3 linked regions of the Sus scrofa genome follow. The protein of the gene in region 1 binds, or shares a complex with, the protein of each later gene. Links are inferred from orthologs where the notes say so. Each region holds a gene or a part of one and is shown in the gene's direction. Other genes may lie near its edges. The genes, in order: WDR20, USP46 and USP12.

The links.
Region 2: the proteins of WDR20 (region 1) and USP46 are in contact, whole or in part, in a crystal structure (PDB 6JLQ), measured with the Homo sapiens proteins. The link is inferred for Sus scrofa from reciprocal best matches to the Homo sapiens genes WDR20 and USP46. Residues at the interface, in NP_653175.2 of Homo sapiens: Asn41, Ser42, Gly44, Arg151, Lys259, Tyr261, Phe262, Gly263, Glu282, Asp283, Asp284, Leu285, His301, Lys304, Ser305, Trp306, Gln374, Asp375, Thr376, Leu509, Arg516, Met517, His533, Glu534, Arg535; in NP_073743.2 of Homo sapiens: Asn205, Thr206, Ser207, Thr209, His210, Arg213, Arg273, Val275, Phe276, Pro277, Glu279, Leu280, Arg281, Phe283, Asp293, Met295, Gln338, Glu342, Tyr344, Thr347, Ser348.
Region 3: the proteins of WDR20 (region 1) and USP12 are in contact, whole or in part, in a crystal structure (PDB 5K1C), measured with the Homo sapiens proteins. The link is inferred for Sus scrofa from reciprocal best matches to the Homo sapiens genes WDR20 and USP12. Residues at the interface, in NP_653175.2 of Homo sapiens: Asn41, Ser42, Gly44, Ser45, Arg151, Ser170, Lys259, Ser260, Tyr261, Phe262, Gly263, Glu282, Asp283, Asp284, Leu285, His301, Lys304, Ser305, Trp306, Gln374, Asp375, Thr376, Arg516, Met517, His533, Glu534, Arg535; in NP_872294.2 of Homo sapiens: Glu207, Asn209, Thr210, Ser211, Thr213, His214, Arg217, Arg277, Val279, Phe280, Pro281, Leu282, Glu283, Leu284, Arg285, Phe287, Asp297, Met299, Gln342, Glu345, Tyr348, Thr351, Ser352.

The regions. Positions count from the first base shown.
Region 1 is NW_018084979.1:1,033,883-1,037,528, forward strand, and holds part of WDR20 (WD repeat-containing protein 20), read left to right. Parts: coding exon 1-1,023; exon of another isoform or gene 1,024-3,646. UniProt on the Homo sapiens protein: Regulator of deubiquitinating complexes. Activates deubiquitinating activity of complexes containing USP12. Anchors at the base of the ubiquitin-contacting loop of USP12 and remotely modulates the catalytic center of the enzyme.
Region 2 is NC_010450.4:39,547,405-39,551,050, reverse strand, and holds part of USP46 (ubiquitin carboxyl-terminal hydrolase 46), read left to right. Parts: intron 1-856; coding exon 857-1,070; intron 1,071-2,845; coding exon 2,846-3,075; intron 3,076-3,646. UniProt on the Homo sapiens protein: Deubiquitinating enzyme that plays a role in behavior, possibly by regulating GABA action. May act by mediating the deubiquitination of GAD1/GAD67.
Region 3 is NC_010453.5:4,637,657-4,641,302, reverse strand, and holds part of USP12 (ubiquitin carboxyl-terminal hydrolase 12), read left to right. Parts: intron 1-1,278; coding exon 1,279-1,492; intron 1,493-3,646. UniProt on the Homo sapiens protein: Deubiquitinating enzyme that plays various roles in the regulation of the immune response and inflammation.

The DNA.
Region 1 (3,646 bases):
AACGAGTTTGCTTTCTCCCCAGATGGCAAGTTCTTGGCGTGCGTGAGCCAGGACGGCTTCCTGCGGGTGTTCAACTTTGACTCGGTGGAGCTGCACGGCACCATGAAAAGCTACTTTGGAGGCTTGCTGTGCGTGTGCTGGAGCCCCGACGGCAAGTACATTGTGACGGGCGGCGAGGACGACCTGGTGACGGTCTGGTCTTTTGGAGACCGCCGGGTGATAGCGCGGGGCCACGGGCACAAGTCCTGGGTCAGCGTGGTGGCCTTCGACCCCTACACCACCAGCGTGGAGGAGAGCGACCCTCTGGAGCTGAGTGGCAGCGACGAGGACTTCCAAGACCTTCTGCACTTCGGCCGAGACCGCGCCAACAGCACCCAGTCCCGGCTGTCCAAGCGGAACTCGACCGAGAGCCGCCCCGTCAGCGTCACCTACCGCTTCGGCTCCGTGGGCCAGGACACGCAGCTCTGCCTCTGGGACCTCACGGAGGACATCCTCTTCCCCCACCAGCCCCTCTCGAGAGCGAGGACACACACCAACGTCATGAACGCCACGAGCCCCCCCGTCGGCAGCGCCGGGAACAGTGTCTCGACGCCGGGCAACGCGGCGCCGCCGCCCCTGCCGCGGTCCAACAGCCTCCCGCACTCGGCCGTGTCCGGCGCGGGCAGCAAGAGCAGCGTCGCCGACGGGGCCGTGGCGTCCGGGGTCAGCAAGTTCGCCACGCTCTCCCTGCACGAGCGCAAGGACAGGCACCACGAGAAAGACCACAAGCGAAACCACAGCATGGGACACATCTCTAGCAAGAGCAGCGACAAACTGAACCTGGTCACGAAAGCCAGAACGGACCCAGCTAAAACTCTGGGCACGGCCCTGTGCCCTCGGATGGAAGACGTTCCCTTGTTAGAGCCGCTCATCTGTAAAAAGATAGCCCACGAAAGACTGACGGTATTGATTTTTCTTGAAGACTGTATAGTCACTGCTTGTCAGGAGGGATTTATTTGCACATGGGGAAGGCCTGGTAAAGTGGTAAGTTTTAACCCTTAATGCTGCACCAGATCTAGAACTTGAATAGGTAGTGATTTTTTTCTTGCGGGAGGGGCGGGGTGTACAATGACTGTGAATGACACTTCTTCTTAATGTAAATCTCAATGCATCAGAGCCATAATTTTGGATACTGCATGCCATGTAATTCCGAATCATTTGATAATTCACCTTAGAACGTTTAAAAAATATAATCAAACTAATTGCCAGCCAAGTCAGTCACCCTCCTGGGAGTATATAGCGTCCCCAGGCTAGCGTTCCTGTATTAGACGATTTCGATTTTAGGAAAATCATGACAGTGTGGGGAAACAGTGACTTTAAAAATGCTAAAATTAAAATTTCTGCTTCAACTGGAATATTTTTGCTCAAGCACTCAATTAGAATATTGTACACCTGATCAGAGCGTGTGTTCACTACGGGCGGCCATTAACTGTCATTTATAAGAAGTCCCCTTTTTTATCTTAATCATAAAATGTGTAGGAATCTATGAAATTTAACTTTAGGAACAAAGCGTTCAGCAGGGTTGATTGATATTATTTTTACATTGTCTGGCAATCCACAGAAAGAGAAGAGCCTTAATTTTTAAAACCCATTTTAGTCATTTTATGACAATTAAAATTGTTTAATAAACATCTTTTTTCAAAGAAGCAGTTTGTAGCACTTTGATTGAGATTCTGTGCACTAAATAAAATATCCACGAGCCTGGCCAGTTACCATGAACTGCGGGCTGAGGGCGCCAGCAGCGTTGGCAGAAGTGCCTCTTGACACATAAGCCAAGATCTTTTATGTCGAATGCAATTTGCTTATGTTTTCTCCAGCAAGGGGAAGGAGGTTCTGTTTTCTTTTGGGTTCGGGGGGAGGGACTCTTGTGAGTTTTTGTGGTTTTTTGGTCAAAAGGCACATGACCGGAGGCCCTTCAGACTCCTCGGCTTTGTGGTGTGAAGACTCCTAGGCCCCCAGGGTGCAGAGAACTTGCAGCTTTTCCCTGGTTTGGGTTTTGTGTTCCCGCCGGAGGGGAAGGGCCGGTGCAGGTTGCTCCTTTTCTTGTGGTCAGGTTAGTCGTGGTTCACGAGCTGTGATCATTCCCGGGATGCCCCGGGCCTCTGGGTCGGGGGCTCCCACCCCAAGCGCCTCCCCTGCCTGGGGTCTGTGGCTGCTGGTGCCAGGGCCGCCCTCTGCTCAGACTGGCTGCTTCCGGAGGCTTCCGCCTCCAGGGGAAACTGCTGTGTTTGACTGAGTCCTCAAGATCCCTCCTAGCTGTGGGCGGGGTTTTCTTTCCGATTCCAGTTGAGACGATGGATGAGATGGCGCTTTGAGCTGTGTGTTTTAAGTCAGGATGATGCGGATCTTATTATTTTGGTCACTTCGGTTTGTTTTTCTGTTGCACCCGCCTTGGCGATTAAACATAGCCAGCCTGATCACTTACCTTGGTGTGAGTCGTAAACGCAGTTCAGCCAAGTGCCGGCCTGGAGACCCTGGCTTCTCTGCAGGGTGAGGGTGGCTGATGGAGCAGAAGCGCTGTGCTCCTCCAGCAGCCAGAGCGCGCCCACCCACCGCCCCCCTCCCCGGGGAAGGCCGGGCCAGCTCCCCCCGCCATGCCCCGCTGCACACGTGTCCACCTGCCCGTGACGCAGGTGGCCTCTGTTACCTGTGGCAGCAGTGGCAGTGTCCTTCCAGCTGCATGTCCCCCTGGGTACGCGTCACGGTCCGTGGGACTGTTGGCGTCCTGTAACCTGGAAGGTATGGTCCTTTGTTCCTAAACGTTAACCACCCTAGGGTGGCAAAGCCAGCCATCCCTGTGGGCTCTTTGAACTGCGAAGGCTAATAAATTGGCTGTCAGATGCAGAGGTTAGGGACCGACACGCCACGTGCAGCCGTATGTACCCACATAGTTTCAGAAATTCCGTTTCAAATGCTTCTGAGGCATTGAGTATGCAGTTTCAAAATTCAGGACTTTGTATTTGGCCTAAGCGGAAGTGGCGATCGGATCCCAGGTAAGTAGCCTTTGGAGGAGAGCCTGTCAAGCATGACCTTTCAGCTCATCACACTGCTGGCAGAAGAGCCTTGCGTGTGGCCCGCGGAACTGGCGCTTGGGCGACTGGGCTCTTTCTGGTTCCTTCTGGCCGTCAGTGTCTGCTGGGGAGACTAACCTGGGGGGGTCTGGGGGTGGGAGCAGGGTAGGAGAGGCGAGAGGGGGATGGTATCGTGTCCTTAAGAAAGAAGCTCGAGGAGTTGCCCTTGTGGCTCAGCAGAAGTGAATCTGACAAGGATCCATGAGGACACAGGTTCAATCCCTGGCCTCGCTCAGTGGGTTAAGGATCCGGCGTTGCTGTGAGCTGTGGTCACAGTGTGGCTCGAATCCTGCGTTGCTGTGGCTGTGCTGTAGGCCGGCAGCTACAGCTCCGATTCGATCCCTAGCCTGGGACTCTCCATATGCCGTGGATGCGGCCCTAAAAAGACAAAAAGACCAAAAAAAAAAAAAAAAAACAGCTCTGAAATGTGTTGACCAAAGTCGGCGTCCATCTTCGCCGCCGCCCCCACCTTCAGCTTTCCAGTCCGTGGTCCCCGCACAGTTTGGGATTTGGGCCTTGGTCGCAGTCTCGCTCTT
Region 2 (3,646 bases), on another chromosome or scaffold:
TCACACAGCATTTTGTCAGCCACGTTATTACTCTTGTGATTTCCTTAGATTGTTTTCATTTTAGCATGTGTGAAAAATTCTACAGTGAATGTCTCAGCTCCAGGTTTTCCCAAAGCGTTGGCTCTGTGGTTGGTTGAAAACCAGTGAGATGGTGTCTTCCCTTGTTACTTATGATCTTGAGTATCCATGGCTTTTGAGAGGGGCAGAGTCTTACGGGGTGAGCCCCAGTCAGATTGCACAAGACCGGGACCTGAGTGGTATTATGGTGGGACAGCTGCCTCCTTGGCAGAAACAAGATTGCTCTGGAGAAAGTGAAGAAAGTCTGAGACCAAGGGCAGGTGTGCTAGAATCTTGAAAGAGAGAAACCAAAACAATCCCCTTGCACTTCAGGCAGTTTTAGCTGAGCAAGTGGTTTCTAGAACCTGGATTTCTTTCTGATTGGGCTTTTAATTTTCCCTGTCGTAGGAGTTTTGGTGTGTGGCAGTGTGACGTCTTTTGTGGAGCCAGCTACTTTTCTGAGGCTCCACAGGAAGTCAGTTTTTTCTTCCTCAGAGCCTCTCTTTTTAAGCACCGGAAGTTCTCATTAGGTTATTTAAAAATCAAGGCCAAGGGCTTCTGATCGTCTTAAAGGCTTTTATGGGCTGGAGTGCGAACAGGCTTGAACAGGCTTGTGGTGATTGGATAATTGCTGGTGTTCAGAGTGGCTTACTGGTCTTAGAACGTGGTGAGCAACTCTGCAATGTGTGTGCTGAATCTGGGCCGGTTCAGAGGGTGGCCCTCTTCCCACCCATCACCCCATCCAGAGGTGGCACGGCCCTGGACCCTGATGGGAACTCTCTTTGCTGTCCTTTGGCAGTTCGGAAACACCTGCTACTGTAACTCTGTGCTTCAGGCCTTGTACTTCTGCCGGCCTTTCCGGGAGAATGTGCTGGCATACAAGGCCCAGCAAAAAAAGAAGGAAAACTTGTTGACGTGCCTGGCAGACCTTTTCCACAGCATCGCCACGCAGAAGAAGAAAGTCGGCGTGATCCCACCAAAGAAGTTCATTTCGCGGCTGAGAAAAGAAAATGGTGAGTTAGCCTGGGGACAGATGTGTTTCAGGCTCTGAAAAGGGGAATCGATAGTTCTGTGTCGCCTCAAAATGAATCTTTTTTTTTTTTTTTTTTTTGTAATGGGAGTTTGCTTGTGTCACAGCTGGTTAAGGATCCGGTGTTGTCACTGCGGCAGGGTCACAGCTGTGGCTTGGGTTGATCCCTGGCCCAGGAATTTCCACATGCTGCAGGTGCAGCCAAAAAAAAAAAAAACCAACACCAACAACCAAAACCATACAAAACTGAATAAAAGTACTTAAAAACTTGAATTTGTCATTCCATTTTGGAGTGATCTTTTTAATTGCTCATTGTTGGGAGGAGTTTTTTCTGGATAGGATCTTGTAAGAGGAGAGATCGCCCAAGGCAGGACACTGATTGAAATAAATAGATTGATAACAATAATTGAATCAAATCGTACTGTCTTATAAACTTGTCATAAATGATTAAAGTAAATGCATATTATCTAATCAGAGCCTCTGCGCTGTTTTAAAAATAATCCTCCTGATTTTTATTCGCCAAGACATTTGAAAGATATCACATTGATATTTTTCCATGATAAAAATGTCTGGCTGATTTTCTTCTTCCTTTTTTTGTCTTTTTAGGGCCTCACCCTCAGCATATGGGAGTTCCCAGGCGAGGGGTCCAGTGGGAGCTGCAGCTTCTGGCCCACGCCACAGCCACAGCAACACGGGATCCAAGCCTCGTCTGCAATCCACACCACAGCTTGAGGCAATGCCAGATCCCTAACCCACTGAGTGAGGCCAGGGATTGAACCCACATCCCCATGGATACCAGTGGGGTTTGTTTCTGCTGAGCCACAAGGAAATCTCCTTTTTTTGTTTTTTGTTTTAAATCTTCTTTTTGGAAGAGGTAGTGGTGGAGACCAGGTTATTCCAAAAATTCTGCCTGGGTAATTTTGTGACTATAGAATATGTGCTATGGCAACTTGTGCTTCCCCCAGGATTTCAACCTCACTTGCAACAGACTTGCACAATCAGATGTTTGTGTTATAAAGTCTCATGGAACTTGATTGCTGTCTTTTGAAGTTGTTGTAGTTTATACAGACCAGAATAAAACTAATCTGAGAGGGAAGCAGAGCCCCCTCCCAAGTCTCCTTGTCAACATGATTAATAATGAAGTTTCATAGCTGCATCCATCTCTTGCTTGTCCTTAGGGCGAGCAACAGCCACCGGCTCCTGGAATCTTTTGTATTTGGTTTCAGAGCGCTATCGGATAGGTACAGTCTCATGTGTACAGCCCTCATCTCCCTTATGTGCTGCATTGAAGCCGCTTCCAGGCTGGTTCAGGGTTTAATACAATCTTTGGGAAGAGACCCTGTTGCTCTGGATAAAGTACAAAGTGAATAATTAATCATTGGTGGTCACCTCATATTCAATATTGATATTTTATCAGGGAGCTTATCAAGTAATTCCTGTTATTTTTCTTTCTGTAAAACAAAAAAGCTTTGGTAGCTTCGTATATGTATACACGGTATACACACACACACATATATATGTATACAATGGCTTTAAGAAGATATGGGAAATTTAGTTCTTGGTGGATGGTAGGTGAAAAATGGAAAAAGAACAAAAATTTTCTAAAAACTAATCCATTGAAGTTGCACAATAGAGATGAATATATGCCATACCTCTCTCCTCTTTCAATATAAAAGCTGAAGTGTGGTTTTTTACAATTAAGCACTGTCTTTGCCTTTTAAGAACCAGAGGTTGAAATAATGGCCTTCTCCCTTCCAGATCTCTTTGATAACTACATGCAGCAGGATGCTCACGAGTTTCTAAATTATTTGCTAAACACTATTGCGGACATCCTGCAGGAAGAGAAGAAGCAGGAGAAACAAAATGGGAAATTAAAAAATGGCAACATGAACGAACCTGCGGAGAATAATAAACCAGAACTCACCTGGGTCCATGAGATCTTTCAGGGAACGCTCACCAATGAGACTCGATGCTTGAACTGTGAAACTGTAAGCATCAGGAGGGCTTTCGTGTGAGCTGCTTGTGCGTGTTTGTAACAGCTGCGTTGTGCGTGAATGCAGGGTGGTGTCGTGAGTGCAGGGCGGTGTTGTAGCCCCCGCAGTTGTCTCAAATACCTGCACATCGTCTATTTATGTGTGTGCACCTCAGATGCAGACTTTTGGAAGCATGCCTCCAGCCAAGATGTTTCAGCCACCTCAAGTAGAGTGAGGAGGGAAAAATCGCAAAAACTAGATTGCTTTGCATCACGGGCTGTTTTGAGGGTCTAAAAATTCGACCATTGAACTGGACCTCCACCACTTAGCTTGAAAAGATTTTGGCCATGAGGCGGTCCCTCTCCCCCACATAAGGGGAATCAGCCATGGTAGGATGAACTTGAAATGGAAAGACAAGCTTGACCTCGGATTCTCCAGCAGTTTGCTGGGTGTTCAGGACCAGTCCCTTATAGCACTGCGGTAAAGACTGGGTGACTTTGTGTCTGGGCGAGTCTGGCACATGGCAGGCGCCTAGTGTTAGTCGAATTTGAAAATATTTTCCAGACAGTGATTCAGGATCATGTAT
Region 3 (3,646 bases), on another chromosome or scaffold:
GTGAGAACCGTCCTCATTCCTTTTTTTCACAATTTCCAGGCGCTCCCCACAGCTTCAGTGACTGACTTTTAGGTGTTTTATTAGTTGGCATTGGGAGCCAGTTTCTGTTGATGGTAAGGGAAAATGAAGGCAGAACATATTTATCAATTATGTGTTATTTTCTTTGTAAGGCAGGAGTGTTTCCTCCTGTTATTAAAGAGCAGGGAGTTGAGGCTCCGTGAGTGGTATGGACCTTCTCCAGGTCACATGGCCAGTAAGACAGAGGTTGTGGTTCAGGACTGAGCTCAGGAGCTGAGTCCACGTCTTTCCCATAGATCAAGAGTAGTCTGACCTGCCATTTCAGCGCGTCCCTGGTGGATATGCTTTGGCACTGGTGCTTTTTCAGTTCATGTTTCAGAGGGTCTTGTTTTTCCTTGTCTCTCCTTTTTGTTCATTTTTTGGATGCCACTGAGGAACCTGACAGTAAACCTCACTTATGTGGGAAAGAATTTTTTTGAGAGTTAGATTTATTTTTATTTATTTATTTACTTTTAGGGTCTCACCCATGGCGTATGGAAGATCCCAGGCTAGGGGTTTCATCGGAGCTACAGCTGCCGGCCTACACCACAGTCACAGCCACACCAGATCCAAGCTTCCTCTGCAACCTACACCACAGCTCACAGCAACACCGGATCCTTAACCCACTGAGTGAGGTCAGGGATCGAACCCACATCCTCGTGGATACTAGTTGGGTTCGTTACTGTTTAGCCACAACAGGAACTCTGAGAGTTATATTTTAAAATATATAGTATATCAAGTGCTTTGTATATAATTGATACTAACGATGGGAATTGAAAAAGAAAAATTCTCCAGGATCCTAAAGATTACCTATTCTCACGGTTTAAACTGTATGGTTTTTTGTGTGTTTCCTTTTCTCTCTTTTTCCCCTTTCTCTTTTGGAAGTTCCTGGACCAGATCCCAGCTGCAGCTGCGCCTACACCACAGCTGCAGCAACACTGGATCCTCATCCCACTACACCACGGCAGGAACGCCCCAAACTGCCGGGTTCCTTGAATCTGTTTTCGTTAAGGCCAAGCTTACTGCATGTGTTTGCTTCCATTGTAACCGCAAGACCGGAAGCGGATGCCAGGAGCGTCCGCTGAATGTCGCAGCGGCCGAGGCAGTTTCAGTTCACGGGGATCATGAGGCCCCCCGCTCTTCTCTCCGCCACCCACGTGCGCATTTGTTCTCGGGACTGCGCGTTCCCCCTTTTCACAAACCGTGTCTTTTCCACCCCAGTTCGGGAACACCTGCTACTGCAACTCCGTCCTCCAAGCACTTTATTTCTGCCGTCCGTTCCGGGAGAAAGTTCTCGCCTACAAGAGCCAGCCCCGGAAGAAGGAGAGCCTCCTCACGTGCCTGGCCGACCTCTTCCACAGCATCGCCACGCAGAAGAAGAAGGTTGGGGTCATCCCGCCCAAGAAGTTCATAACGCGGTTACGGAAGGAGAATGGTAATGGGCTGCGTGCCGCGTTGCTCGCGGGCCGGGGGGCCGGGCGGGGATGCGGGAGCCTTCCCGTGTCCGAGGAGGTGCCGGTTCGGGGAGGGCTGAGCGCTGTTCCGAGATCTGGGTCTGTGTGCCAGCAAGCGAGGAAGCCTGGCATCGCGTTTGGCCTGCCAGGCTTCTCCTCTCGAGAAAAGTTTGGTTTGGGGCCCAGTTATTGTACATTTGTGGCTTTCATCTCGCTTTCGTGTGTGTTACCTCATGTGGTCCTGACAGTAACGGGATCTGGGGAGCATGTTACTGCCCCGTTTTGGCGTGAAAAAAACAGACGCTAAGGGACTCGTCAGGAGTCACACCCCAGGGACGAGAAAAAGCCAACAGTAAATTAAACTGAACGTCCCGGCCTAGGGTAGGCGGTTTTACCCCGTCCTCCTCCCTTTAAAAGTAGTTACTGGCGTTCCCGTTGAGGCGCAGTGGTTAACGAATCCGACTAGGAACCATGAGGTTGCAGGTTCACTCCCTGGCCTCCCTCAGTGGGTTAAGGATCTGGCGTTGCCATGAGCTGTGGTGTAGGTCACAGACGTGGCTCGGATCCCGTGGGGCTGTGGTGTAGGCCGGCACCTATGGCTCCAATTCGACCCCTAGCCTGGGAACCTCCAGATGCCTCAGGTGCGGCCCTAGAAAAGGCAAAAAGACCAAAAAAATAAAAAAATAAAAGTAAATAAATTTAAACAGTTACTGATTACACCCCACTTCCCTTTTCTCTTAAGATGCTTTTCCTTCCGTTTCCACGGCCGGCCCGCACCTTAGACATCGGCTCCCTCCCTTCACGTGCATCACTGGTGCTCAGAGACGGTGGCGAGCTCGGCTCCGTCCTGGTCCTGAGGGTGGAGCACAGCCGTCCGCTGGGCTCTGCTGCCCGAGTTCAGAGGGGTCTAGGGGACACGTAGGGTTCTGGGTTCCGTTCTGTTGGATGTAGGCATTTCCACCCCTGTAGAAATAAAGTCGGGGGGTGGTTTAGTTTGTTAGCTGTCAGCTACAGGGATCCCAGTGCTTGGCCGTTTCTGCTGCACAACAGAGCGAGCCAGCTGGACGCGGACACCCTGACTCACTCTGTTGTGCAGCAGAAGTGGTCACAACATTTAAATCAACTGTGCTTCAATAAAACTTGAAAAAATGAAAAAAAATGCGGTGGTGTCTGCGGACATATGACTTGAGACGTCTTTAAGGTTGGTTGGTAAACACACCAGTGGGGCGTCCTGCCCTCGGCTCCGCTGACCTGTTCATCGTCACATGATTAAGCGGGGTCGTATCTAACCTCCTGAAGCGCACAGAGACGCTGCAGTGGTGGGGCCATAGATGATTATTCTTGAATCTGATCCCGTGTTAAAGATTTTCTTCACCTTTTCTATATAAAAATATAGAGCAGTTGATTAACTGCTCACAAAACACACATCTCTGTTGTGTTTCCCTGATTAAAACTAAACACTGATGTAAACTACGGGCCTGCATAGTATCTTCTGTTTTAAAAGAGCCAAGTACAACTCGGTTAGAATGTGGACTGAGTGATTCACGTCTTTTTGCCCGTATTAGTAAGAAACTTAAAAACGTTTGTCCTGGCAGAAAGTTTGTGTAAGTTGACCCTTGAACGGCGTGGTCTGACTCGCGTGGGCCGGGCGTCTGGGGTCTGCTCCTTAGTAGATCCCGCAGAACTCCGCCCTCTGCACTGGCTCACAAGCACAGACGCGGGACCGGGACCAGGGACCACGGGTACAGGGGATTGGGTCTCTGTGGGGAGTCCCTGCTCCTTGTTCAAGGGTCAGCTGTACACGGTAACCGAACATGCTGTCCTTTCGGGGCGATGAGTGTTTCAGAAAACGTTCCACGTCAGAAACATGAAACGTAGAATGTGAGTACCCACTGTTTCCCTTTCCATGTAACAGGACGTTTTTCTTGACCTTGTTGAATAGTGGATTGTACGTGTTCTCTCTTAGTTAGAGCCGCTGTGGTCAAAATCCCGGACACGAGGTGGCTTAAACCATAGAGGACTTATTCCTCCCGGTCTAGAGGGTGGCCAGTCCCAGGTTAAGGCACCAGCAGGGTCATTGCACACGGCCACCCTCCTGCTGGGTCCTCTCGGCGACGACAGGGAGAAGCAGGCTT